4 linked regions of the Diceros bicornis minor genome follow. The protein of the gene in region 2 purifies or fractionates together with the protein of the main gene of each other region. This does not show direct contact. Links are inferred from orthologs where the notes say so. Each region holds a gene or a part of one and is shown on either strand. Other genes may lie near its edges. The genes, in order: SNAP23, STX7, SLC31A1 and PTTG1IP.

Region 1 (6,903 bases), on a different chromosome or scaffold from region 2:
GTGTAGTGGTTAAGTGCCCAATATTTGGAGGCATAATGGTTTCAAATCCTGACTACTGATTACTTAACTTCTCTGTGCTTCAGTTTTCTCATTAAATAAGGATATAGTGCTTACTTCAAGTGCTGTTACAAGGATTGAGCTAATTCATGCAAAGCATTTAGAACTCTGGCTGGCACACAGTGCTCAATAAAGCTATTATAATTTTTCACAATAATTATTAAATATCTCTCATGTTTTTGACTTGGGAATCAAAATCCAAGCAAGATCAATTTTTTTAAAAACTGCGATTTTTAGGGGCTGGCCCAGTGGCGCAGTGGTTAAGTTCGCACGCTCCGCTTTGGTGGCCTGGGGTTTGGATCCCAGACACGGACCTACGTTCCGCTTATCAAGCCACGCTGTGGCAGTCGTCCCACATATAAAGTTGAGGAAGACGGGCATGGATGTTAGCCCAGGGCCAATCTTCCTCAGCAAAAAGAGGAGGATTGGCAACAGATGTTAGTTCAGGGCTAACCTTCCTCACCAAAAAACAAAACAAAACAAAAATTGTGATTTTAGACTATCAAAGAAGTGTCACAATGTAAGGCCTCAGTAGTCATGCAGGAATATAACGTGTGTATGTGTGTGCATGTATATAGAGGGGGCAGGGTTGCTTTAAAAGGCAGACAGGAGACAGGTTGTGAAGGGCTTTGTACACTATACCAAGAAGTGTGGATTTTATTTTATAAGCATCATGAGGCCATCTAAAGGAAATCTCAGTTGTCAAAACATTGTTAAAATAAATTTAAAACAAACTTTAAATCCAAGTTACAGAACTCACAAAAATCAACAAGATGAGGGAATTTCAGAAAAATATAGAGATCAGTGATTTAAATATTTTAGTTGCAATAAAACCTAAATTGAATCAAAATCAAACTGTCAGTGAATTTAAATGAGTGCAAACAGAACCTCACCTCCAACCCCAATACCACAAAAAGAACAGTACATGCTGTTTCCTGGCTCCACAATCCACTTCCTCCAATTGTTGGAGGCACTGGATCCATCTGTTTCAAGCCTCTACCCACCATGACAAAGAAAAGACCAGTCCTTGTCATCAACTCCTCTGTCAATCTACAGACCTGGAAACAAAACATGGCACTGGAATAAAAAGTTCAGCATTCTTGAATGCAAGCAACATCATATATTATAAATGCTAACTAACACATACAATGCAGAGTACAAATACACCTAAAAACAGATTTCCAGAATGTTTAGGACATAGGAACCAAAGAAGGAAAAGAAAATGCCTTAATTCAGAAGAAAAAAAAATGAAAGGCAGCTGATTTCACAAAAATGTCAAAGAGCAAACATCCTCTTTTTCTCTTTTGCTATTACAATCTACTTTCATTTGGTAAAACCAGATAAGTAAGTTTGCTAGAACTGCGTTAACAATAATGAATGCCATCACAGGGCTCACAGAATTTTGAAGTTCTTAGAGTTTAGGCAGTCCAATCTTTACTTCATTTTAAAAATGAGTAGATTAGACCCAAAACAGTATTTTCCAAAGGGCAGAGCAACAACAAGAGATGATTTTAGCTGTTATATAAGCAATAGTTATGTACTTAATAGTTATGTATTTATTATAATGTGTACTAGAAAAAATATTATAAAATACACAAAACTAGAAAGTATTATAAAATACAAGACCAGGATTTCGTAGATTATCACTTTGGAAGAGGGTAATGTTCAAAAAAAGTCTATTAAAAATACGAAGTAAAATAACACAGACGATCCTCTAAAAGGCAAAATTTATGATGGTGGTATGGTTCATGATAAATGAAGTACTGACAGCTGTTCCACGAGCAACAGGGCCTGTTTTGTTGTTTGTTTGCTTTCTTCTTGATTTAAGCTTGTGTTCTGAATGATTAGAAAAAATGTGACCTTTAGTTAAGTGAGCTTGTTAGTATACTTAAGTTCTTTTAGAGTAAAAGAAACAAAGGCTAAGATCCATACAGATATTCTACTGTTCATAGGAAACAGTGTAATAAGGTTAAGAAAATAATAGCACAATAAGTCAGTCCTATTCTGGAACTAAGATAACAGCAACTTTCTAGTGCATATCCACATACCACAAGCACTTAAAAAAAAAAAAAGCCCTAGCAACAATGATAAATATTTAAGCTGTAGGCTAAGTTATATGATCATTTTATTTACTTTCACATGACCTGTCAAAAGAGAATGGTAATGTGAGGTGTTTCTCCTGTTTCTCCTAATATTTGCTAGTATTTATACGAATGCGGTCTTTTTCATTACCTCTTGCCAAAGGAACAAATGACAAGGATCACTGAATGCCTTAGGCATCAACTTTGCTGGTGGCAAAAATATTAATTTTTAAAAATTTTACTATGAGACATTTTAAGATTAGATCTCAGAGTATTCTAGCTAATGATGCCTCATGCATTTCAAGTGTGGTATTTTCCAGGCTACGGAAGAACGTGAGAGAACCAAGTAAAACAGGTAAGATTGTACTTTCCTAGAAAGCATGGACTCGCCAATGCCATGAACCTCAGAGATCTTCTTCAGACAACTAATTCACAGTTATCTGATCACTGTGGTCACCATACAGTCTATTAATCCCGACCACAGCAAACCTGTGGAGGTCGGGGGTGAGGGAGTGAGAGTTTACCTCCGCTCGGTTTCAAGAAAGGGTCCAGAGAACCACCATCCCGCCACCCTGCCTGTGCCGGCCTCTCGACAGTCTCCTGGCGCCTCGCGTCCTCGCTCCGGGCCCGACCTGCCCAGTCCGAGCCACAGCCCCGCTCCTCCCCTAAAGCCCGATCCTACCAACTTTTCAACCGTCATGATATACTCTTTCTCCTTCGGATACGATCCCAACCTTCACCTCGGCCAGCTCCCTCAGCCCCACTCCTGGAGACTCACCACGCAGTTCGGCCACTCCTCTGCGGCCTCGGCAGCTCGGACACCCCCAGACTGGACTGGGACCTGCCCCTTCTTGCGCCTGCGCACGCCGGCCTCACACGCCTGCGCACTTCCCCGGCGCCGCGGGTGCGGCCACACCCCTGCAGCTGGAGCCAATCACGGTGCGGGGGGTTTAAATCTCCCTGCCACGCAGGCGAGGAGCCTGGGGACTCACCCGTTAACCGGATAATTCGAGTCCCGCTTGTAGGTGGGAAGTGTTCAAGCAACAAACATTTACATGTACCGTACTGAGGGCAAACCGCCAGGCACTGTGCGGGATGAACACTGAGGAAAAGAAAGCGAATAGAATGCCTTCCCTGCCCTCTAGGGTCTTTTGATCTGTCTAGACTGGGAGATAGATATGTAAATAAATTATAGTGGATAGAATATAGTGCATGGCATATAGAAAATCCGAGGCGCCGCTGGCGCACAGTGAACACAGTGCCTTATTCTTAGGGGTGGCTGGATGGGTTCCCGGGGGAAATGACTTTTGAGTCATGAAGGATAAGTAGGAGTTCCCCCGGAAGTCCGGGAGGGAGAGAGACTATTTTCCAGACTGTGAGAACAGCGTATGCCAAGAAGAACATAGCGCCTTCTGGAAATTACTTGTAGTTCATCCTGGTTAGAGGTTTAGAGCTCATCGTATATCTCCAGGTGAAGGGGGAATAAGCTTTAAAAAGTTGGCAATTGCCAGATCTTGGGAGGTCTTGCATTTTTGGACTAGTGACCCTGCACTTTATACTGTGATCACTGAGAGCTACTGAAGGGTTTTAAGCAGGTCTGGGAACTCTTCCAGGCACCTCTAAAAATAAAGCACAGTGCTGGGGGGGAAAAATGCTTTAAAGAGGGAATATTCTATTCCTAAGGGGTCAAGGAAGATGAAGCCTGAGAAATATCTTTTGAATTTAGTAACACAGAGATCATTAGTGATCTTAGCGAAAGCTATCTGTTGGGATGAAGTTGAAAAATAGATTGCAGTAGTTTGGAGAGAGAGGAGATACAGAAATGGGGACAGGTTGTAGAAAGCTTTTGGAAAGTTTGGCCTTGAGGGTAGGAGGGAAAGGGATGACAAGGGGTCAAAGTTTTTTGTTTCTATTTCTTGGATTTTTTGTTAGAATTAAGGCAGGAGAAACTTAAGCATGATAGGGAATATGCAACTGAGAAAAAACAGTTGAATAAAGAGAAGTGCTAGTTAGTAGGTAAAGATCTTCAGAGGGTAAGAATGGAGGCAATCCAGAGCACTGATGGGGGGACAGTCTTAGAAGAGAGATCTTCTCAATTATAATGAGAGGAAGTATGTGTCTGTAAGTTTGTATGTTTAGTAACAGAAAGTTAAAGAAGTTCTCATCTGATCACCTCTGTTTTCTCTGTGAAGTAGGAGATGAGGTCATCTGCTGATAGAAAAGGAGTTGGGAATTTTAAGAAAGTGGAGAAGATTTGGAATGTTGTAGAAAGTGATAGAGCAAATTGACCAGAGGAAAGTAGTAGAACTGGTAAGCCATGTTGAGGGCCTGTATAAGATTGGTAAAAATGAACTCACCAGTTTCTGCCCTCCTGCATAGATTTCTCAAGCAGTAATCACTTCTTGAGGTAGAAGTGGAGAAAATGTATGGTTGAGTTCATTTAGCGTTGGGATGGTCACTGGCATAATGCCATGGTTCTCAACCAGGGACATTTTCCTTTTTTGGTCTCCAGAAGACATTTGGCAATGTCTGGAGACATTTTGATTATCAAGATGGTGGGTGGGTGGGGATGTAAGGGGGCACTACAGGCATCTGGTGTCCAGGGATGCTGATAAATAGCCTAAAATGCACAGGAGAGCACAGGAACTATCTCCAAAATGTCAATAGTGCCAAGGCAAGGTTGAGAAATCATGATCTAGGATTACCTTGACGCTCACCAACAGCTGACCTTGGTCTTCTACAAGCTTTTCGTTGGACTATGGTCCAGAGCTTATAGGGTAAAGCAGTTCTTCCATTGCTTGCCTTTAAAGGAGAGTAGAATGAGCAGCATACCTCAGACCTTGAGTGTTTCAAGGACTTGTGATGTCACAAACACAGAATGGGAATAGTTCCTCAATCCTCTAGAAGCAAATCTGGATTTACACAGAGATGAAGGGAGCTGCTTACTTTGATCTGAGGCATTGAAGGTCTTGTTAAACATAGATATTATTAGAAGTTCAACAATATAGGAGGAGTAACACTTCACAAATTATCAACCTTAATGTAATTTGGTTTATCTCACTAGTTTTAGTCACTAAAATAAGATCCCGAGAGAATGGGTATGGGCTAAGTTTAATATATATAATTAAGATAAATTAATATTAATAATTAATATAATATAAATACATTAAGTATTAATAAGAATGTAATTATTAGTATTAATGGATTATCTGCTCTTTGATAGGCACCATTATGGATAGGCACTTGACCTATGTTATGTCATTTAATCCTAGCAACACCTTGAGAGATATCCTAATTTTAACTCTGAGGAAAGTGAGGTTCCAAGAAAATTTGTAATTTACACAAAGTCACAAAGTACTAGTATCCAGGTCAAAAAAATTGGAACTCAGGTCTGTGTGTTCTAAAGCTCTTGCACCTTCCATTAAGCTTCAGTAAATTTTAGAAGGAAGGAGTGGTTGGCAATGTAGCGGCAACAGTTGCCACCGCCTAAAGGGAATGGTGGAGACAGGAAGAGACTAAGAGCAAGAGCGAGGCCCGGAAAGAGAAAGAGAATGAAGAAGGAACCGGGAGGCTGCTCACAGGAGCGTGCAGCGCAGCGGACTAACTTCGCAAGCCTGCCTGCCTTTTGTCTTCTCCCATTCTTTTAGAGTACATAAACCCTTTTCCCCCTGTGTCCGTTGTTCACTTTCGTGAGTTCAAATAAAGCTAGATTATTGAGAAAGGCGGACCTCAAAGGAAAAAAAAAAAGAGAGGGGAGCTCTACGGCGGCGGTGTGCGCTTGCGCGCTGGCGGCGGCGGCGGCAGCGGAGCCCGGAGGGGAGCCGGTTCGGAGCGGGCCGCCGGGCCCCAAACCGAGGGGGCGTCTGGGGCGTCAGGGAGCTCCCTCGTCTGGGCCTCGGCGGCCTGATGGAGTAAGAGGGGTCGCCTGTGAGTGTGAGTATCGAGGGGCCGAGCTGCGTTGAGGCGTATCGGAGCCCGAGGGTCCTGGTGGTCTGCCCCTTAGGGAGGTTTGGGGCTGCAGGACGCGGCCGGATCTCTGCTCCTGCAGGCCGCGGTGCAGGGGCAACCCGGTCGTCCCCTCTCCCCGAGCCGCGCGGGTTTACGGGCAGGCGGTGCTTTTGGCTTCGCGGTACAGATTCTCGCGGGGGCGTTCCGGCTCTGCTCCCAGCCGGAAACGTGGCGGCAGAGCCTTGACCTTTAGGGGAGGCCGCTGACCTCCTTCGGCCTTTGGTGCCGCAGGGAGCCCATAGAGTCAGGGTGCTTAAAGGCCTACGGGTCTCCGGCCAGGAACACCTTTCGACCACTTGTGACTTACAGCCTCCGTTCTTTTTCCTTCTTCCGTCTTCTCTCCTTATGGGATGCGTCTTAATAATAGCTGTTAATTATGGAGCGCTTACTATGTGTCAATTTAGTATTTAGTCCGAATCTGGGTGCATAATTATGGAGAGGAAATGCTTTGCACCCCACTCCCCCTTCAATCTGCTCGATTTAATTATCTTTGAGAGTCAGAACCATCTTTTGAGATTAAGCTATCTTGTTGGGAAGTTTGAGATTTCCATGACTCTTAGCAATTTGGGACTGCCATCCTGGTTAAGGGAAGTTCTTCTCTTACCTACCAAGAGAGTGCTTTATCCACCATAATGGTTTATATCGAATTTACTCAAGCCAGAATAACTTTGGAGCACTTACTAAGAGCTTAGTACTGTGCTAAACCCTTTAGGAAATCTTATAATTAGTTTTAAGCTCTTTCTCAACTTTAGTCGTG
Region 2 (7,902 bases):
GCACCAGAATATATAAAGAACTGTTAAAACTCAACAATAGGAAGACAACTCAATAAAAAATGAGCAATAGATCTGAACAGACACTTCGCTAAAGAAGATATATGGATTTTAAATAAGCATATAAAAAATGATCAACATTATTATGGAAATGAAATTAAAACCACAATGAGATGTCACTATGTACCTATTAGAATGGACCAAAATTAAAAAATAAAATCTAACAATATTAAATGGTGATGAGGATTTAGAGCAACAGAAATCCTCATTCATTGCTGATGGGAATGCAAAATGATACAGCCACTTTCGAAAACAATTTGGCACTTGCTTATAAAATTAAACATGTACTTATACAACCCAATAATCCCCCATCTAGATCTTTACCCAAGTGAAGTGAAAAATTATATTTTTTATCTAAATCTCTATGTAAATATTTATAGAAGCTTTATTCATAGTTGCCAAAAATTGGAAACAACTAATAGGTGAATGGATAAATAAATTGTACATCCAAACAATGGAACACTACTCAGCCATAAAAAAATAGCCACAAAGTATTGATTCATGCAACAATGTGGAAGTATCTTAAATATCTTAAGTTTTGCTAAGTGAACGAAGTCAGACCTAAAAGGCTACATATTGTATAATCCACTTTGTATGACATTCTGGAAAAGGCAAAACTATATAGAGACAGAAAACATGAATGGTTGTCAGGAGTTGGGGAAGGAGAGGTGGTTAGCTAAAAGTTACTGCAAAAGAGAATCTTTAGGATGATGAAACTGTCCTGTAAGGTGTGGGAGAAGAGGGAGAATCCCCCTCTGCCCTTTCCCGTAAGGTTCTTATGGTTGGCCAAATAATTAGCAAGACAGGTTAGCAGGAGAAAATAATACCAAGTTTAATAACATGTATACATGGGAGAAACTCAGAAATGAGCAACTCGTCCCTCTGTCTAAGCTGCTTGCTTAAGTATTGTAGCTAAAGGCGAGGAAGGTGTTGGGGGTGGGTAGTGGTCTGGGACTTCAGAGGGCAAGAAGACAATTCTTCTTTTCAGGTTCATCTATAGATAATGTGGTCAGGGAGAGAGAGAGTTTTTTGATAAAAGGGGCTTGGTGCCCCTCCCATTGTAACATCTATTTTACATTATCATTACAGCCATGATGATAGAAGATCTGTTCCAGGAAGGAGCCACCAACTCAAATTCTTTAGGCAGTTAGTGGGAGAGGTCAAATGTCCCTCAGAGAAAACAATCAAGGTAAAGAGATATATTTCAGGGTGGCCAAATCTTGATCTCCCACAAAGGTATTGGGGTGATGGATATATGACTGCATGCATTTGTCAAAAATCCATAGCACTATGTGCCACAAAGTGTGAACTTTATGCAAATTAAAAAAAAAATCAACTAGTACGTTTGAGGAACCCCAGATGAAATGCAGACACATGACAAACAAATCTAAATGCAATACAAACATAAAACATAACTTCACTGAATGGGGTAGGGAAAAGAACTGATCTGGTTAATTTTGGAAAACATTGTCTCGACTCAATAATGTAAGGCTAAAAACAAAAAGAATTTTCCATCAACACTGTACTCAAGGTTTTTTGCTTTTTTCTCTCATAGGAATATGAGTTAGCAATTCTGAAACTACTTTACATTGTACAAATAAGTAATCATTAATTAATTTTATTATTTATTTATTAATAATTACCACTTGACTGACTTCTGATTGCACTTCAAAATCTTTTCAAGAAGACCCAAATTCCCAAAATTACTGGGTCTGAAAAGCCAAATTACAAGCCTTCAGACACAGGTCACTCCTGCGAGTGTAAAGGATTTGTTCGGGGAGAAGTGAAATGATTACTTGTTAAATGAGCAGAATTTTTGAGCCCTGCCTGGGTTCAAGGCCCCTGGCTGAATTTCACGAAGTAGCAGGCAGATGCAAAGAAGGGATACTATAAATGTTAGGAACTCTCTGGGAATTTATTTATCTTCTATGCCTCTAAATTTTGCAGGCTTACCTAAACTATATTTTTTTCCATTTGATTACAAAGGGATGAAGTCTTATTCTCAGATTTTCAAAAGACCTGGAGGAATCCACTCATAACATGTTTTAAGACATGAGAAATTGGAAGGAGCCCAGGAGGAGGCTCTGAGCTGTGGTTCCAGTTCAGGCAGTAACCAGCAGGGTAACCTGAGAGGCCACGTAGCCTCAGGGTCTTCTTCTACAGGGCACCATGCCTTCCCCTCCCACAGCCCAGGGTTCTAGCAAAGGTAACTTGAAAGCATGTTTGGAAAGTGTACCAGACCTTATGTAGATGTAAGTTCTTTGCATGATAGTTCCTTGATTGATTGAAATGCCTCTTCCTAAGTTCACCAACCACTTCTTACTTCTCAAGTCCAATACACAACTTTCAGTTCTTAATTTACTTGAACTTTCTGTGACACGTGCTATCATGGAACATTCCCTCTTCATTCTCTAGTTCACCTTTTCCTAGTTTACTTCCTATGTCTCTGATTACTCCTTTTCAGGGTTTCTCTTTCTCTACCCTCCCTTAAACACAGAAAGTCCATAACATTCCTTCCTTAGAGTTAGTGAGCTCATCTGTTCCCACGGTGCCAACCAGAGCTCTATCCTGAACACCAGCTCACACCTTCAAGTACCTGTAGGACACTGGACATCTCAAACTGGATGTCCCTTCCCCAGAAACTTAAACACAACACACCCAAAGCTCAACTTATTGTCACTTCACTCCCTCATTTCACCAGCTCCTTCCTCAAACCACAATTACTTTGTTAGTAGTCTTGGATCTCAGTAAGCTATATCATGCTCAGCTCAGTTTTGCGTGTCCTAAGAGTAGGAGTCATCTCTTTCATTCTCCATATCTAATTTATTTATTTATTTATTTATTTATTTATTTATTTATTTTATTTTTTGTGAGGAAGATCAGCCCTGAGCTAACATCCATGCCAATCCTCCTCTTTTTGCTGAGGAAGACTGGCTCTGAGCTAACATCTATTGCCAATCCTCCTCCTTTTTTCTCCCCCAAAGCCCCAGTAGATAGGTGTATGTCATACATACATTCACTATATAAACTCTATTTGCCTTTCCAGTCTCGTATCCCTCCAATCCACTGACTACAGTTTATCTAAATAAACATATAGAGATCCCTAAGAGTTTGCATTTGCCTATGATTTTATAAATTTTTATGTGCTTCTTTTTTTGCCTGAAATGTCCTTTCCCACCTTGTCTTCTCAGTGAACTCTTACACATCTTTCAAGCTTCTGTTAACACTTTCCTTTTGGAGTGGTGCCTGACCCCACAGTAAGGCATCCTCGTCTCTGGACTCTCACTGTGCTATGTACAAATCTTTATCATAGCTCCTTTTACAGTGTCCTGGGAGGGATCTCACTCCTTGAGAGAAAACACTATACCCTACCCATCTTCATACCTGCAGTGCCTGGCACAGTACCTGACAGATGACAGGTTCTCAGTGAGTAGTTGCTGAATGAGTGATATGGTAGGAAGAACTCAAGATTCCGAACTAGGTCATCTGGACCTGTGCTGCTTATACTTATCTGTGTGATTTTGATGGAGTTTCCTTGGGTTTTAGTTTCTCTAATCTGTGAAGTGAGGGAGTGTACCTGGATTTTCTGTAAGGGCCTCCCCAGCTTTCATACTCTGTGGTTGACACTATTCCCTTTTATAGAGGTTGAAACACATATTTTGTCTGATCACAGAATATATTATACAAATTTAAGAATATTGAAGAAAGGAGAGATTTCACATAAAAATCTGAATTTCCACTGTATTTTGACAAGGCGGAAAACTTGACTACTGCGTATCGGGCCAGTATTCCTAAAAGTCTGCAATCAGCTTTAGCTGAATCCTGCTGTCCCTGAAGATGGGGTGTGTGCCTTCCGCTTGGCCAGTGTGCCCACCTCCGTCCATCGCCCCCTCCCCACCGAGGCAGAGTGTAAGTCTCTGCTCATTATCACACTTGCAGTGTAGTTTTCTTCAGTCAAGAGGAGAAAGAAATATTTTTTTCCCACTTCTCTGTTAAAAGTAGAAAAATGAAAAACAAACTGCGAGACCCTTGTATTTCTTATCCCAGGCTGACCTTACTTATGTATATATGCATGTATAATTCCAAACAACCTAGAATTTGCTCAACTCAAAATGTTCTTTTTTTTTTTTTTTTCCCGTTAAGTGCATCTGGAGTTTTGACGTCCTGATGATCCTTTCAGAAAATAGTGTTGCCTTAATACAGGCAAAAGCCAAGCCAATCTATCTTCTAACCAATTTGCTGAGGTATTTCTTTCACCTGAAGCATTTGATGCTGTTTATCTAACACTTACATTCTGTTTGAATACTGCATTTATTACGAGAACATTCTCTGCTCTCTTCAAACACTGTGAAAACTGCGCCCTGCCCTTCAAGGATGACTTGTATGTGCTACGAACACCTGTCTACCAAGTGAGCACACGGTCATGATTTCCCTTTTCCTTCATTGTTCCTGCTGGGGTTGCCTATTTGCGTGCGCACTCTCTATGGCGCTGTGAATACAGTCTACCGCAGTTGAGGGTTAGCCAACAAAGCAGGCATGAGCTGACGGGGCGGGCCGAAGACGCGAGGCTAGGGAGGCTGGCATCACCCTATAAAGAAGACAGCTCCCCTGCATTCCCTCCTCTTGTTTTTGCACGCAGGGTGAGGCGTTCCCCCTCGGCACGTCAGGCCTCGAAGAACACCTGCTCTGCAATTTTGCTGGTCCCCCCATCCCTCAGCTTAGAATCAGAGGGGGCGGGACAGGGCTGTCACTCCGCTCCGCGGGCCAATGGGAGGGGAGGAGCCGCCTCCTTCCCAGGCGTATCGCGGGCATGCGCAGTGGGCGTCTGGACGCCACCGCCCATCAGCTGAGAGCTGTGGCTGCGGACTGTGGGTCCGGGGTCCAGCGGCCGGAGGCGGAGGAGGCAGCCAAGGAGGTCGGGGTAAGCGGGCGGGGGCGGGGGTCCCTGCGCCCCGGGGGCGCGCCGGCCCGGGGCTGCCGCGCCTCCTGGTGGGCGCGCGTGGTCAGGGGCCGCCGCCCTGCGCGGTGCGGCGGGCGCTGCCCGGCCCCGGGGCGCCCGCTCCCCTCGGCCCGGGCCGGCGCGGCGTGCCCCCGGGCCCGGCCGGCCCCCGCCTCCCCGCGCCCCGGGCCCCGCGGCCGCGCCCGCGCCGGGTGGGGCGGCGCCCAGCCCGCCCGGGCGGCTCGGGAGTCCAGCCTGCGCCGCGGGCTGACCTCTTCCTCTTTCTCGCTCGCCCGGGAGAAAAGTTCTCCCGCTGGAGGCGAACTGAAAATGCGGCGGCGAGGGCGCCCTGTGCGCTCGTTCCGAGCCTCGTTGTCGCCGTTTTCCTATTTGGCGTGATGACTGGGACACGCTGACTTGCTTTGATCCTCTCAGCTCCTGTCATTAATTGGTTTACATAAAGACCTTGACAGATATATAAAATATTTCCAGCTGCCCCCTCCCCCCTTGTTTTTTAGGTTGTTAGTTTCTTTAAATTCAAACAAAAAGAAAAAAAAAAAACATTGCCTTTCTGGTCAATTGCTGTATTTTTCTCTCTCGAGTGTCTTAGATTTGCTTGGCTCTTATATACATGCAGTAATTTTTGTTTAATTCAGATCAACGTATTCTGACTATAAATATATATAATTTAAACCTGGCACAGAATCTGGAAGAAAAGAAAATGCTTCTGAAATGCTCTGCGGTTCAGTAATGTTGGAGGTGGGCGTGTCTTCTGGGGGTGGCCTGAGCGATAACTGATGTGGTAAACTGTGTCTTGTGATGTGGACAAGCCTCTGCTTTGCAGGCCACTTTGAGAAGTGCGTCTGACTTGTGACCAGTTAAGAATTACGGTTTAGTTTCAAAGAAGATAATATAATACCGTATTAACTCAACATCTGTGTCATTTTTCCTCAGATATTTTACTTCTGCTCCCCATAACACAGTCAGTCCTAATTTTGGTTATGATCCCAAACTTTAGCCAAGTGCTGTGGGTGAAAAATAAATTCTATGAAACACCTGCAGTAAGTCTGAGTAAAGTTTGCCTCTGATTCCATTTAATTTGAAAGATTAGTGTGTGAAAGGGTGAAAAATAATCCTTAGTGTTGTGACCTAAACCCAAGTAGTAAATAGGTTAACGGATGGAGGAGCTGAGCTCAAGAATGCGGTTAGTGTAGTTATAGAGAATGCTGGTGTCCGGAGAGGGATCGCCATCACATTCACGGAACATCTGTGCACCCTGCACTGTGGATTCCACAAGATGACAGGGTTGTCTCTCTCGTGTCTGTATTCCAGAGGTGGGGTAGATAATAAACTGTATACTAACTAGATCGTTTTAAATGGTGATCAGTGCTATGGTGCAGTAAGTTAGAGAGATCAACAGAGAGTGGCGGGGTGGTGATCTCTCACTTCACATGGCAGTGGTCACGGAGGCTTTTCTAGCATGTGATGAGAGCTTGCTGGGGAAAAGAGCCAGTCACTGGGATCGTGGGAAGAGCCTTCTAGGGATAGGAAATAGCACCCAGCAAGGTCCCCAGGCAGCAATCGTCCTGGGACATCAGGATCTGAAAGAAGGCCCTGGAATTCAGTGTCTTAGAAATGGTCATATTTAGGGGCTAGCCTGGTGGTGGAGCAGTTAAGTTCACGTGCTCTGCTTCTGTAGCCCCTGGTTCACCGGTTCGGATCCTGGGTACGGACCTACTCAGTGCTCATCAAGCCACGCTGAGGCAGCGTACCGTATAGAAGAACTAGAAGGACATACAACTAGGATATGCAACTATGTACTGGGGCTTTGGGGAGAAAAAAAAAGGAAGAGGATTGGCAACAGATGTTAGCTCAGGGCTGATCTTCCTCAAAAAAAAAAAAAAAACCCTACCCCTCTGGGAACTTCACATTTTGGGGCACGGGGTGGATGGAAGTCTGTTGCTTTACGCTGGTGCTCACCATTAAGAAAGTGAAACTGTTTCTATTGCCCTAAGAGAGTGAGATTTCTTCAGGGAAATCTTCATGGGAAGATTCATGAGAATCTTAAGGATTCTGCATGTGTCCAGTAGTAACTGGGGGTGGTGTTTGACAGTCATGATTCCATGTTAAAATTCCCTTTGTTCTTTCATTTGTGCTCTTTAGAAAGTCTTGAGAGGACGCTCGTGAATACAGTCGATCCTCTGTATCCGAGTGTTCCGTATTTGCAAGTTCAACCAACCACGAATCGAAAGGCCTACATGGATGCGTTTGTGTGAACGTATACAGACTTCTTTTTCTTGTCATTATTCCCTAAACAATATAGCATAACAACTATTTACATAGCATTTACATTGTGTTAGGTATTATAGGTAATTTAGAGATGATTTAAAGTATATGGGAGGATGTGCAAATACTACACCATTTTGTATAAGGGACTTGAGCATCCCCAGATTTTGGTATCTGTGGGCTTTCTGGAACCAATCTCCCAAGGATACCAACAGAGGACAGTATTGCACTTTGATTCTCTTTTTGCTTCTTTCTCTTCATAGTGTTTATATATCTTCATAGAAAGGTAATTATTGAGATGTCTAGATGAGCACTGTTTAATAGAACTTTCTGCTATGATGGGAATGTTCTATACGTGAGCTGGCCAAGCCACTGGCCACACATGTGATATTTGAACACTTGATAGTGCAGGTATAGATAATGAGTTATTGTTATTCTGAGCAGTAAAACAAGGGATTCTGAATGGGCTTTCGGAAGTACTCAGCAAGAGAACTGTGGTGTGTATTAGCTCTGGCCTGGGTGCTGGAGACTGATGTGGGAAGCAGGCGCCAAAATAACTTGGTTGCTTAAGTCTCTATGCAAAGATAAACTTTTAAGTCAATTTGTAGGTAGCTGTCTGT
Region 3 (7,492 bases), on a different chromosome or scaffold from region 2:
CAATTCTCCTCTTTTTTTTTCTTTTTCTGGCTGAGGAAGACTGGCCCTGGGCCAACATCCGTGCCCATCTTCCTCCACTTTATATGGGACGCCGCCACAGCACGGCTTCCCAAGCAGTGCGTTGGTGTGTGTCAGGTATCCGAAGCGGCGAACCCCAGGCCGCCGCAACGGAGTACGGGCACTTAACCGCTTGCGCCACCGGGCCGGCCCCAACAATGCCTACTTTAAAGGACTAACAGGTTTAAATGAGATTGCAAGTGTAGAGAGCAGTGCTGGCCTAAACAAGACATCAACAAATGCTTACGAAATTTAGAAGAGACCAAGATTTCTCCTTTTAACGAGGGTAATCTGGGTAGATCCCCTAAAAGAATAAGATTCTGGGAAAGTTGGGCAATGCCTTTAACAGTGAAAATTTACAAAGCTGAGAACCTAGTTAAGATATAATGGCTGATACACAGACAATTGATAAGAAAAAACTGTCCTTGTTAGCTTCAGTAAACTATGGGTATTGAATTTACTATTTTAATTCTGCAAGTATGTTTTATTTCAAGGGAAAGACAGAAAAGTGTCATAGTTCTATGTTTCCATAGATGCCCTAAAGGCCAGCCAACTGATTGTAAAAGCAATCCAAAAGCCAGGTCAACCCAGTTATCTTTCAGATTAATTCTAGTTTCTATTAATATTTTAAAATGAACTCTAGACAGACTTAGGGACATAAGTTTCTTGTAAATTATTACATTTTTCCACTTTTGAAGTGTTCTCAAACGTAGACATCTCTCTATGTTAGCAAAAAAGGGCTTGCTAACTCTAGGCCTGAGTCTTTATGTTTATAATTTATGGCAAAAGTCATTACAGTACTAACTACACTTTAAAAGCAAATGTTAGAGCCAGCCCCGTGGCGTAGCGGTTAAGTGTGCGCGCTCCACTGCTGGCGACCCGGGTTCGGATCCTGGGCGCGCACCGATGCACCTCTTATCAGGCCATGCTGTGGCGGCATCCCATATAAAGTGGAGGAAGACAGGCACAGACGTTTAGCCCAGGGCCAGTCTTCCTCAGCAAAAAGAGGAGGATTGGCATGGATGTTAGCTCAGGGCTGATCTTCCTCAAAAAAAAAAAAAAAAAATGTTAGCCAATGCATTTAGTTGCCAAAGTCCCCACTTAGCCTTAGTTTTATACTCCTTTTCTTTTCTCATCATAAATAATTACACACGCATTTATATTGTATCAAAATATTTTAATAAACAGGGATTCTTTTTGTTGTTAAAGTACTTCTTTTATGATCTGTGGTATTAAATATCTACTTCTATAATAATAATAATGGCACATGGGCAGTCTGGTGGAAATCTGCTTGCCTGATTTCAAATCCAAGCTCTTTTGCTTTTTAGCTGTGTGACCTCAGGCAACTTACCTCTCTGAGCCTTAATTTCCCATTTGTAAAGTGGGTATAATAGTAAAAACTACCTCACAGAGTAGTAGGGAGAAGTAAATATGATAAAGTATATATAGTACTTAGTACAGTGCCTGGCACTGAGTAAGTACACAATATATGTTTTATATACATGTGCACACACTCTATTACCTTAAAATGTCGATTCAATTCAGCTACCCCTGTAAGGGAGAAAGCATGCTCAATCAATGCACAAACTGACCTGCACCTATAAACTGATATCATCATAAATACAAAACAATAGAACTGGAAAGGTCTCAAAGATCACCCAGGGCAAATCCCATTACTCAATAGACTGGGGCATGGAGAGCCAAGGATGGGAAGTGACTTGTCCAAAGTCACACTCCTAACTGGGGTAGAATCAACATTAGAATCTAGGCTTTTCCATATCTTTTACAGAACTTAAAAATGCTTTCTGATATCAGTTCTAGATTTATCTTTTTTCTATCTTTACACTGATTTATTGTTACCATGCCTACATATTATTTTTATATAATCTAAAACAAAAGTATATACATAACTGGCCCTTTAAAAATGCTTTGTGATTATTATTACTGGATTGATTTTATTCTACTACAAAAATGTAAGTTTTTTAGGGGCAGGAACAGTGCCTTATTCCTATCTGTATTAGCTAAAGCCAAGAACCATACACTTAGCAGGCATTCACATATTTCTTCATTTTAAAGTCACAATAGTGGAGAAAAGGCTAAGACCAAAAAAAAAAAGCAAGCCTCCTGAGTGCCATTTCTAGGTTAACCATGGACTTTAAGAGGCCTGGAAACTTGAAACAGATTATCAATCATCTAGACAGCCATCCCAGCACTAACACTCTCACTTCTACTATGCTAAATGGAGTATCCTAAACGGAGTCAAGTAAGTCATATATTTAAGTCAAGACATTTGAAAATTAATAAGCAAGTATATTTACAGTAAATTACAGTTAGAAAGAGGAACTGAAAAGGAGCTGCCGTGCTCACTGTCATGCGTTCTATTTCCTTAGAGAAAACCAAAAAAGGAATAGCTGAATCAGAGAATGTTGGTGAAACTTCCTATATTCTCAATCTTAAATTTGATTGGTTTTTCTGGTTATTACTGGGAACAAAAATAAGTTATCTGTATAACTTTGTTTACTAAGCCTTTTATCATTCAATTAGCTGTTGTCTATGTTTAGGAGCACAGTCACACGCCTAGAACTAAAGTGTTTCCGGTCCTTGATGAGCCTGCTCAGGAAAGCAGCATTGCTGAGCCACCAAGAACTTATCTCAGCCCAGGAATCTGGAAAAGAGCACATGACTGTCATTATCTACCGTGTAATTTTCAGTCAGCAGTGGACTGCTTGTTGCACAAAAGTTGAGAGCCCTACCATTCATTTACAGACTTCCCCCAAATACTTTCATCTAGTGAAGAATGTGAATTTAAAGTAGATCTTGTAAACTTTCAAAAGGCACAGCCACATACAAAACAGGCTTGTATGAAAAAACACGAATTCAAAAGGCTCAATACACAATCAACAGCAGCAGGCTGGACTCTGTGGAAATTTTAGTGAATGTTTTGGGTGGAAGAGGGGAAAAAGGAACCAAAGCACAGCTTAACTCTCTGAGCAACTAAAAGAACCCCAAGTGGAACTAAGTGGATGTAGACCATCTAAAGCAGGGGTGGGGTAGAACAGGGTGGTGAGAGTGAAAAGAAGACTTCAGGATGGGTAGTACAGAGCTAGTCACAGTGTAAGTCAAAAGATCCTATTTAAGGCCAGTGTCATTTTATGGTCATTCATGTACTGAACTCTCCACCAGGACTGGAAGCGACCTGAGGGCAGACACAGCAGCTTAATCATCTTCGTAACCTCGCAGCATTTAGTAGAATGAGGAGTATGTGTTGGTGTATTCATCATTCTTCAGTACACTCTGAAATTTCTTAAACAGATGTTCGAAGACAGGCTCTGCAAGAATCAGAACTTAGCAGCTCACAAGTCAGAAGGGAGTCAAGCTGTCTACTGACAGAACACAAGGGAAAAGGCTAAAGTGATTACTGGAAGAGATAAAGCCCTGCCTCTTGAAAACTTGTACCCCAGGCTAGTATAACAATGACTGGGACAGAGGATAGCGACCACAGTCTCTTACATTGGTTTTAAGCTTTAGAGTGCAATTTCACAGCTATTATTCATTCAACAGGCACTTCCTGAGCAATCGATATGTGCCAGGTACCGTGCTGAGGCTAGACAGAGATGACCAACATATGCAGTCCCAGTCCGGTCAGGGACTCGTAATCTAGTAGGTTCGGTGTGCAAGGATAGACTGAAACACGCCTAGCTGTGGGAATAAGAAAGACAAAGCAATTTATTCTGCCTGGGGCCGTAGGAGAACGGAAACCATCAAAAAGGTGACATCCGAGCTGGGCCTTGAAGGATGCTGGAGCTGACCCACCCAGGCCAATTCTGAAGTGTCACCGCCTCGTGCATGGAGAAAAAAGTCTCACACTGGCCCCAGCTGACTCCTATAAAAACTCTGAGGCAGGTCCTCCCATCAGCAATCACCCCCATTTCACAGAAAGTGAAACTGTGACCCAGAAAGGAAAAGGCGAACCGCAGGGTCATTCTGCGTGTCCGCGGAGATGTCAGGTCCACGATCCAGGCGGACAGACTCAGTTGCGAGCTCTGCCCAGATTCTGAGACCTGCAGAGCACCGGAATGCGGCAAGGGTGTGGACCCGGAAGTGGGGAGAGGTCTGATAAGAGATCTACCCCTTCAACATTTTGCCCGGCTCTCTCAGCCACGCCCTCTGCCCCACGCTTCTCAATCACTCACCCCCCGCTGGGCGAGAGGAAGTCGGCGTCGTCTTCATCGACCGCACCGAACATTGCGCTGGCTTTCCTCCCGCTGCTGGGAAGAACTCGGGGTTCTTCTCGGACCTTTCACTGCCGACGTCGTGAAATGACGCGCGGCGTCTGCTTTCCGGCGGGGCGGAGACAAGCCGCGGGAGGAGGTGGAGCCAAGGCACAGGGGAGGGCCTCGTGGGACGCGCGCCGCGTGGCGTTAGGATTCTCTAGCCAGCAGAGGCGGTGAAATACGCGGGAGCGCCGAAGTCCTGCGCAGGATTGGCCAGCGGAGCAGGCGGGGGCGGGGCAGAGACCGCGTTCAGTGGCGGTCTCCGACACGACGAGCCGGGCAGAAGTGGAGGGGCTTCCGAAGAGTGGTGGAGGGGTGAAGGGTTACGATTCTGAGAAGGAGGCGCCGGTGGCGCGACTGGATCTAGGAAGGTAAGTCCCCCTCCCCCCGCCCCTTTCGCAACCCTGGCACGGGCACAGTCCTTTCCCCTTCGGGACAAGGACCCTCCACGCCACTCTTCTCAGCTTGGCGAAAGGAGAAGGGGCCCGGGACTGGCCGTCTGCAGATCCAAGCTTTCGGCCTTGCCCCTACAGTGACATAACTGAAGTGACCTTGGGGCAAGGTGTTCGGTGCCTCAGTTTCCCCATTTGTAAAAATGGGCGTGACGCCCCTACCGCTTGTTCCCTGTGGCCGACCTCGCTATTTATTCAACGGGCTATTTGTCCAGTGCTTCCTGTGCCGGCTGGTTAAGAAGCTTTTAGACCTCAGAGGTCATCGAATTCAATCCGTGTTCCAGAATTTATGGATAGGAAGAGGAAGGAACTAAACACTCTGATGACTTAGGCGGGCTGGATTGCTGGTCTCTTGATTCAGGACTTTAGTGAGCTGATGGGTGAACAAGAACCTTATCAGCCCTTAAGCACTGCGTGCCTTACAGAGTGGTCGTTGCCAGACTGTGGCTTACATCTTGAGAGAAGGCCCCTCTCTGGAGTCCACCTATGCAGGAGAGCTGAAATATTCTCGGGATGGGCGATGGAAAGGAGGAAATTTTAGAAGCTGAAAATCCACAGCCCCGACCTTGGCCTGGGTTTTGCTTAGTCTTCCTGCCACAGATCTAAGTCAACATCAGTTGTTGCTGACTTCTCTGCCTCCAGTCCATCCTCCCTGTATCTTATGTAAGTGTTTCTTTGGTTAACCTGGTATAATTCTTGGCACAATCTCCGGGTGGGCCTGGCTTAGCCAAGGTGTGGATAAGCAGATAATGTCCCACTGTAGCGTCCATTTCCGTAGATCTCCCTGGAGTTCTTTTACTCGACGCTTCTCCTCTCAGTCAGGTTCGCACAACAGGTGTCCCTTACCTGAATGTCTCAATCTGTTAGCGTGAAATTGAAGTGAAGTGATTTGTAGCTCCCTCCCAGAAAACTCCATAGCTCCTAGTACTTCCCTTGTTCCGCGTTTTATTATAGTTTATGTACTTCTACCACATTGTAAGCTCCTCAAAGACGGGGGCAATTTTATTCATCTTGGTGTCTCCTGTGTCACAGAGCACCATCTTGCCCATAATGGCTTAATTTTTTGTTAGATTGAGTAATTCTTCCCTTATTCCTTAATTTACTCTCTTAGGACTTTTTTCCCATGTGACCCAAAGAGGCCAGTAGTTGTTCTTGCCTTCTATAGATGGCTTCCAGAAAGAGAAAAATGCTGTACTAGCTGTGAACTCTCTGGGTTACTTAGCCTCTTTTGTTAATTGAAGATGATTTTACTAATGTTTAAAACTCTAGGGGAGGGGAAAGAGGGGAATAGGATAGCGAGAAATATTATATGTAACTCTAATTTTAGTTAGTAAAGTATTCCTCTGTAAACTGAGAGAGAGGGCTGTTGTCTACTTCCTTGTTTATTTTACAGATTAAGATGGTGGGAGCGATGAAGGCTGACAGTGTTAACGCAATGATGTAACTGGAGTCTTAGCACATAACTGGAACTCTTTGCGGTAGTTCTGTTTAGAAAGTGGACTTGGCTACCTCTCAGGAGAAAAAAAGAATGAACCGCATAAGTAACATAGCTCTTTGTAATCCCTCTCCCCAGTTCTGGTCCTTGTCCTTCCAGCGCTGAAGCATCTGAGTAGTGCTTTGAAAAAATGCTCAAGGATCCTTTGAACGCTTATCTTTCGTTCTTGCCTGGGGGCATTTTCATCCAGCGTGGTTAAGTAGCCTTTTTAAATGCAGAAATCCTAAAATCTGGATCAGCCGTTTTGATATTTGGGACACCAAAATATGCATTCCCGGATCACTGTTGTGGGAACACGGCTGCTGGTTCTGATTGGCAGTATGAGGAAGGGAAAGATAGTGGTGAGGCTTCCTCAGTCTCTCAGGTTTTAAACTGCAGGATTGGGTGCACTTAAAAAGCCACTGTTTTCCTGAATTAGAATATTGGACTAGGATTCACAAAACCTGAATTTTCATCCCAGCCCTTCTAACTCGCTCTGAGCTTTTGGCCCTGGCTCCCTAAACACTTTCTAAAAGGAGTGGGTTAGACCTAGACATCTAAGTACTGCTAGGGATACAGAGGTTAAGTAAGGCACAACTTTGGTCTCAAGTTTGAATTAAGTGTTTTGTTTGTTTTGCTTAAGTACACAGCTTTTAGATGCATTTATAAAATGTATTGACCCCCTGAAGGTTAACCAGGAAGCAGCAGTTTTAACAATTCCTTTCAAATTATCAGCAGTTTTGCTACAGAGATGACAATTTTTATGTACAGGTACACCCATACTCATCTGTGCTGGTGAATGCATTTTAAAATTAATAGTTTAAAATTATAACCAAGTGAGATCACAGGTGTGGTGATAGGGATATGAACTGAAGATAGGTTTGGCGAGTTGGTATAGTGTTCATTCTGTTCAGTCGCTGAAAACGCAAAAAAGTCAGAACACAATTCAAGAAATACCGTCTGAAAACCTGCTATGTGTACAGCACTGTGATGGGTGTTGCCTGGGATAGGAAAATGAGTAAGTCATTGTTCCTGTCCCCAAAGTGCTTATAGTTGAATAGTGGGGTTAAGCAAAGTATAGGAATAACCATAATAGAAGACATAGCAAGGGGCTGGCCTGGTGTCGTAGCGGTTAAGTGCTCGTGCTCCCCTGCGGTGGCCCAGGGTTCAGATCCTGGACGTGCACTGACGTACCACTTGTCAAGCCATGCTGTGGCGGCGTCCCATATAAAGTG
Region 4 (6,923 bases), on a different chromosome or scaffold from region 2:
CTTTTAGGGGTCGTCTTCCCCCGGGATGTAAAGATGAAACTCTGGGATCGAGTCTGACCCCATACACAATTGGTGAGGTCCAGGGCCCATGAAGACTTCTTTAATTTAAAAAATTCCGCTCCAAAGATCTTCAATACCTCACAAGTTCCCAATGTCTCCTCTCCACCAAAGCATACAGGAAAACATCAGAAATTGTTGATTTTGTATTGCTGTGATGTATTCTTTGAATTTACATACTTGTGGTTAATTTTGTATGTCAACTTGAACGGGCTAAGGGATGCCCAGATAGCTGGTTTCACATCCTGTTTCAGGATGTGTCTGTGAGGGTGTTTCAAGGGAGATTAGCATCAGAATTGATAGACCAAGTAAACATTGCCCTCACCAATGCAGGTGGGCATCGTCCAAACTGTTGGGGGGCTCCAACAGAACAAAAGCAAGAGGAAGGATGAATTCACTTTTTGTTTGAGCTGGGACATCCATCTTGCCCTGTCCTCGGACATCGGTGCTCCTGGTTCTCAGGCCTTCGGACTCAGACTGGGACTTACACCCCTGGCTCCTCTGGTTCTCGGGCCTTCCTATTTGGACCCCACCAGCTCTCCTGGGTCTCCAGCTTACAGACGGCAGATCATGGGACTTCTTAGCCTCCATAGTCGTGTGACCTAGTCCCTTATAATAACTCTCTTTCTCTATAGCTGTGCATATCCTGTTGGTTCTGTTTCTCTGGAGAACCTTGACTAATGTGCTTGCAAGGAAGACAAAATAGTGTAGCCACATGCCCAAAGCATGACAAGTGGTGAAAATCTCGCACAAGCACAAACGGTGTGGGAGGGGGACCTCCATGCTGGAACAGCACCTCTCTCCAAGGAAAGGCGAATGCAGACCCCAGGGCACGGGGGCGTAAACACCATCCCAGCAGGACACCATTCCTCCCACTTGAAGGCACTGCTGACAAGAGAAACAACCGTCCACCCCCTCCCACCCACTGAAGACTTGGGGTGTACCCTGGGACAGAGAGGAATCCCTGTGAGCTGAAGGAAACAAGAGCAGCCTCCAGCTTCGTTGGTGGTAAGTGGAATGCCGTGTGGCTAGAGAAGCAGCTGCTTGTCACCTGAAATGCTAGAGTGATAGTCTGGTTCACCTCCCAGACCGTCACAGGACACTCCCACTCATCTCACACGGGGTCTCTGCAGCTTCAGAAGCCCAGGGCACCATGGAAAGCAGAGCAGCCAAACAGGAGGCTTCAGGGCGTTTCCAGACACGCCCACTCTGGTAAGGGCACCCCCCCCTCACACGCCCACTCTGGTAAGGGCATCCCCCCTCCCCCCAGCCATCGGTAATAAACACATTCTTTCGAAATCACAGGCTCTTGGCAGATAGCCATTCTGTTTGGTAAAAAGTATTCATTCCACGTTTGAGCTTAGAACTCAGTTTGGACCAAAAGTTCCCTATACAGTGCAACCTGACTGCTTCATTAACACACGCCAGGAGGCTGCACTGTGACCGTCACAGACACATACACACATACTCCTGGAAGTAGATTAGAGGACACTCAAGCAGTCCTGCCCTAGAATAAACGTTCAACAAGGTCACCTAGAGGAAAGGCACTGGGCTGTACTAAACCAAGCCTGGGCTGAGATCAGCTGAGGACAAACTGTCCCTTGTGCTGGGCCCCGGTCCATGCTACTTGTAAACATCATGAAACAGGTTAAGCAGCCTCCTGTGGCTCTGTTACCCACAACTAGTGATCACGTGGGGACTCCACACAGCAGTCAGAGAGGGACATTCTGCAACAGGTCCCACAACAGTCCCCAGCTTTAACCCTTCCCAGATTTCCACCAGCCTCCAGACAACCCATCAGGCCCTGCTCTGCCCACAGGAAGCCATCTCCAGCAATACTCAGTTTCTAGAACTCTTTGGGCCTCAGGTCGTGCACTTTTTTCCATGCACTCCCCTTATTCACCGCCCCCCCAGCCCCAATGGCTTGCTTTCTAGTCAGTCTCTCCAGGAACTCAGCTCAAGGATACATAAGAACCACCGGCTCAGCACCTGGCACAGGTGGTTAATAAAAACAGGTGGGATAAACCCATGAAGAACGCCCACTGCAGGTCTGGAGAGTGTGAAAAGGGATCAGCTGGCTTCCAGGTGGCAAATGCCACGGCCTGTGCTTTCCTGCCTTCACGACAGTCTTGGAGATCCTCGGAGGAATCTTCACGTGCGCGGTGAGGCTGGCCATAAGGGCCCCACCCAGGCCTCCCGCGTGAAGCAGGGCCCCGGGACATGAGCCCCGGCCCTCGCAACCCTCGACGGGCGTGGCCTGGACACCGGCCCCCCAATCTTTCCGAGGGTCGCGGTGAGCTTCAGCGAGAAAAGTGTGCTAAGCTAGGCCGCCACTGCAGGCCCGCGGAAACGCGCAGCACGGCCGGGCGCCATCTGGACCCCCTGACACACCCACGCTTGGGGCAGCCGCTCGGCCCCTTCTTTTCCCGTAGGCACATCCCGCTGCGGCTCCACCCGCCCGACGGGGCCAAAGGGTGGACCCGCGGCCGCCCCCGCAGACCGCAGCGCGCAGGGAGCAGCAACCCGGCGCGGCTGTGACCCCGTGACCCCACACCCCCTCCGCCCGACCCCACGACCCCGCCTCCCCCATATCCCCGCCCGACACCGCGCCCCCTCGTCCCCTCGGTCGACCCCATGACGCCGCGCCCCCTCCGCCCGCCCACATGACCCCGTGCCCCCTTGGCCGCCCTCACCCGCTCCGGGCTGCTCCTGCGCCGCGGCCGCCGGGAGGAGCAGCAGGACCAGCGCGGCGCCGCCGAGGCACAGTCCCCACCGCGGCGTCAGCCCACGGGGCCCGTCGGACGCCATGGTGGCTGGGGCCCCGCCGGTCAGTCCGTCGGTCGGTCGGTCGTCGACCGGACGCACCACACCTCGGACAGCTGCCACGGAGCCTCTGCCCGGAAGCGCCGCGCGCCGGAAGTGGGCAGGGTGGCGGCGAGGCGAGTGCGCAGCCGCGCGCCCCTGCTCGCCCGTCCCTCGCCCTCCGGCGACCCCCACCCCCCGCAGCTCGCGTTCCCCGCCCCCTGGCGTCGCTCAGTGCGCCTGCGCGGCTGACGGGCGGCGGGCTCGCTGTGGCTCAGTGCGCATGCTCGGCTGGGAGGGGTGTTGGGGAGGGGGCGCGCCGTGGCCTTGCCTCTAAAGGGGCGGCGAAGGCTTGGAGATGGCTCTGGGGCTTGCTGGTGCCGCCGCCCCTCTTTGGTTGGTCCCGCGGGCCGTGCAGAGCCAACGCGGTCGGCGCCGACCCCCTGCCCGGAAGACCGTCGCCTCCGGCACCCTGGTCCCTGGACGCCCCCGTGGGCACGGCGCTCCCTCCGGGCCCACCCCCCAGGAGCCCGCCCGCCCCGGCTCCCTCGGCCATTAGTCGGATCCTCGCTGGGCATACTCCCGCTCCCTCGGAAATGGCCCTACTTAAACTTTGTCGGCTTTCAGATAGTAATGTTTGAGGATTTAGTTATTTATGTAGTTAAAAACATTTAAAACAACCTCAAACTTGGTGTAGACTTTTATTATTGAAACTTTCCTTTAGAGTCCTGAGAGAAGCTGCGTTTCTCGCTCTCACATGCCCATGGACCCCAGGACCCCAAACACTGGGATTGCGTGCTCCTCCCTGCCAGGACCCATCTTTGACCTTGTGGAAATAAGACAAACCTTAACTAAACCGGGTTGGGAAGGCCTGCAGGGGGAGCTCTCACCCCCATCACATCCTCAATTACACCAAACAGGAAGAGACTAGACTTGCATCTCCCACAGGAAGTACAACTACTTTACTACTGAAGGAAGACTTCTCTCCCCACCTGGGAGCGCCAGGCCAATGAGAAAGCCACAGCTCAGCCAATGAGAAACACTGTAGTTCATCCAATGAGAAGCCATTGCTGCCCTGATCTGTTTCTCTCCCCCAATGGACTTTCAGCCCCTCCCTCTCCCCCTATTTCTGTATAAAAGCAGCCCCCTCCTTTGTCCTCTGGATTTGTCTATGGGTTGCCACAGCTTGCGCATTCTGAGTTGCAATTCTTTTGGCTATTTCTGAATACACTCCTTTGGAGATAAAATAACAGGTGGTTTTGCCTTTTAAGTTGACAGCTCTGTGGAGAACTGCTCACGCTATGGTCACTTGTCACTCCATCACTTAGTGCCCTCTCTATGGTATTGGACCTTGTTGTTTAGTATCTTTAAATTCAGTAGTTAAAATACTGGCTTCTTTTTAAAGCTGTACAAGAAGTGATGCAAATATATAATGCAAGAGTCCAGTTGATTTCTTTTTAAGACTTTCCATAATCAAAGTAGAGTGAGGATTTGGTAATTGTTGAGTGGATTTGGGAATTGTTCAGGAAAGCAAGAGATGCGTCTCCTAAGCTTGGTCTGGTCAGTATGGCTGTCTGGACCATCCTGGTGAGAGCCCTCCCCTGGCTGGGTAGGAGCAGTCCTGGGATCAGCTAGTGATGTCTGCTGCATCGCTGTTGAGGTGTCTGCCACAGGGGAGGTGTCTGCCATTTTTGATCTTCTTCAGGGCCCCAACGTCATTTACTGAGTCGTGTCTCACTGCTGTCCCACCTGTACCTCAACCCTCTAGGGAAGCACTGTGGTGAATTCCGAGCGGTGGGCTGCAGTCTAATCTGAGAATCTAGGTGAGCCCTGGGGAGGCAGGCAAGGTCCAGACTCATCGGAACACCCCTCTCTCTCTTCCAGCATGCTGGAATTCAGGGATGTGGCCTATAAAATCTTCTGTACTTCCTCTCCCTGAGAAGGCCCCAAAGTGGTTAGAATTAACTTGCCCTCAACCCCCAGGGCCAGTGTGGAAAGACTGTTCTTGGCCAGGAGGGCACAGTTGGTTGCTGTGTATTTGTGCCTCCTTTGATGTACAAGGACCAGTCAGCACACCTCATCCCACCCTGTCACCCAGTTATGGTAAACTGGACCCAGAGGGTGCATGTCCAATGAATGTCACGGGGTCCGGAGAAGAGCGCATCAGAGCTGTGAGGCCGGCATCCCAACCCCACCAGTTCCCACCTCTGCGACCTCCGCCAACCTACTCAGCCTCGGTGAGCTTCAGCGCGCGTGGCTCGGCTCACAGCACTGCTGACCATCATGAGGTCACAGAATCAGGCCAGAGGGTACCAGCGGGTTGCAGGTCACAGCACAGAGTTACCTTGCCCGGTCTTCCCTTTAGGGCAGACCCGAGCTGGCCCAGGTACCCATGGCACTGGTCTGTGGTGCACAGAATGAAGCCTGGCCCCTTGCACAGAAAGATCATGGGTCCGGGATGTCGAGTCAGTGCCAACGTCAAATGTTTTAATGAGCATATCTTCAAATTTACCCTGGCTCCTCATCAAGTGACAAAGTTCCTCTCTGTCCATGTGAGGCGCAAAGGGCCCTTGACTGCAGTAAACTACGTCTGACCTTCCTCTTCCAGTTCAATTACTTCATATCGCTTTTTGGATCTTCTGCTGCATAAAGAGATGTCTAAAAACTCATTTGCTATTAGAAATGGAGTAAACACCAGCCTGGGTTTAGAACTATGGCCTCGGAAACCAACATTTCTTTGTCCTAATAGCACAATCACACAATGCTAATTTAATGATAGCTGAAGGACAGTGGGCATTTGTAAGCATTAACCAGGACACAGTGAACACTGCTACATTTGAAACAGCGTCATCAGCAATGACATTTTAAGATACTCTGAGTTTTGGGACAATATGGTAGCACAGAAGTTCAAAAAATACTCTGTAACTAGAGCCCAAGTTCCTGTTTTAAAACAGAGGCAGAGGGGACGGCATTGTTTAACTTAACACGTTTGATTGTCAAAGAGCTTCAGGCTCATAGGAAAGACCTAAACGACACATTATGAGAAAGTACGAACTACAATGACTTCTCAGAGAAACAGGATGATTACTCTGTTTGCAGTCTGGAATTGAAAGAGGGTATGATTTTCCCAAAAAGAAAGATGGGTAAGGAATTAAACTGACACATTACAATGGTGGCAATTTAAGGGAAATATTCATTGAGCGCACTGAAATGGAAAGGGCTGCCCAAGGGCACAGACCAGCCCGGTGGGCTGAGGTCAAGCTCTGGTGGTTTTGGAATGCCAGGGCCTCCACCCTGGAACTGTGCAAATTGGAGTCACATGATAGGCATTTTCACCAGAGTTGTTTTTATTCCTGGTCAGTGTGCCATTTGATTTTGTTCATCATTACGAGTACATTCCTTAGTAAGTTAAAGAATTACTTCCAGAAAGGCCTTGTAAAGAGTGAAGCGGCTACCTGGGCAGGTAACACATTAAACCTCCGAGATCATTAACACTGGGAGATCTCATTTTCAGCTCAGCTGAGGAAAAGGGAACACTTGAGGGCCTTGGACTTTGGACTTGCCTTGGAGGGATCTGGAAAGGTGTGTGGCAGCTCTTAGACAGGCTGGGTCAGCAGGGCTCCAGGGCGGAAGGAAGGAAGGACAGAGGCAGAAAAGACAGAGGGTCAGCAGGTTTCAACCCCGGCTGGCCACAGACACCACCTGAGGAACATTTAGAAGCAGCGATTCCAGCCACCCGCCCCCTGCCCGCCCCCCGCAATGAAGTCAGAACTCCCTGGGGTGCCATGCTGTTTAAAGCTGCCCAGGCACAGGCTGGGCTGAGTCCCCTGAGCTGGGAAGTGCTGCTGCGTGGGCAGCAGTGGGGCATCAGGCCATTCTGCTTCCCTCACCTGCTCAGGTAAAGGGTCCCAGGTGACACCCAGTAACAGGCCCTGACGCAGTTAGAATTTGAAATAAAAGGAGACCCAAAGCCAGATGTCCTCCCGTGTGCCCCCTTCACAGTTCTGTGGGTGGGTAGGGGGTCGATAGGGGTGTGGGTGATACTGTGATATAAGAAAGAAGAA

The links.
Region 1: the proteins of STX7 (region 2) and SNAP23 purify together in Homo sapiens (affinity purification with mass spectrometry; 3 studies listed by BioGRID and IntAct, counting the BioPlex papers as one, with this or other methods). This does not show direct contact. The link is inferred for Diceros bicornis minor from reciprocal best matches to the Homo sapiens genes STX7 and SNAP23.
Region 3: the proteins of STX7 (region 2) and SLC31A1 purify together in Homo sapiens (affinity purification with mass spectrometry; 3 studies listed by BioGRID and IntAct, counting the BioPlex papers as one, with this or other methods). This does not show direct contact. The link is inferred for Diceros bicornis minor from reciprocal best matches to the Homo sapiens genes STX7 and SLC31A1.
Region 4: the proteins of STX7 (region 2) and PTTG1IP purify together in Homo sapiens (affinity purification with mass spectrometry; 3 studies listed by BioGRID and IntAct, counting the BioPlex papers as one, with this or other methods). This does not show direct contact. The link is inferred for Diceros bicornis minor from reciprocal best matches to the Homo sapiens genes STX7 and PTTG1IP.

The regions. Positions count from the first base shown.
Region 1 is NC_080744.1:40,080,469-40,087,371, reverse strand, and holds the start of SNAP23 (synaptosomal-associated protein 23), read right to left. Parts: upstream 3,003-6,903; 5' UTR 2,917-3,002; intron 1,116-2,916; exon of another isoform or gene 951-1,115; intron 1-950. UniProt on the Homo sapiens protein: Essential component of the high affinity receptor for the general membrane fusion machinery and an important regulator of transport vesicle docking and fusion.
Region 2 is NC_080762.1:5,448,526-5,456,427, forward strand, and holds the start of STX7 (syntaxin-7), read left to right. Parts: upstream 1-4,888; 5' UTR 4,889-4,978; intron 4,979-7,902. UniProt on the Homo sapiens protein: May be involved in protein trafficking from the plasma membrane to the early endosome (EE) as well as in homotypic fusion of endocytic organelles. Mediates the endocytic trafficking from early endosomes to late endosomes and lysosomes.
Region 3 is NC_080767.1:21,478,253-21,485,744, forward strand, and holds the start of SLC31A1 (high affinity copper uptake protein 1), read left to right. Parts: upstream 1-4,476; 5' UTR 4,477-4,702; intron 4,703-4,736; exon of another isoform or gene 4,737-5,446; intron 5,447-7,492. Other genes in the region: FKBP15 (FK506-binding protein 15), read right to left, coding at 4,251-4,303.
Region 4 is NC_080766.1:44,238,111-44,245,033, forward strand, and holds the start of PTTG1IP (pituitary tumor-transforming gene 1 protein-interacting protein), read right to left. Parts: upstream 3,011-6,923; 5' UTR 2,866-3,010; coding exon 2,751-2,865; intron 1-2,750. UniProt on the Homo sapiens protein: May facilitate PTTG1 nuclear translocation.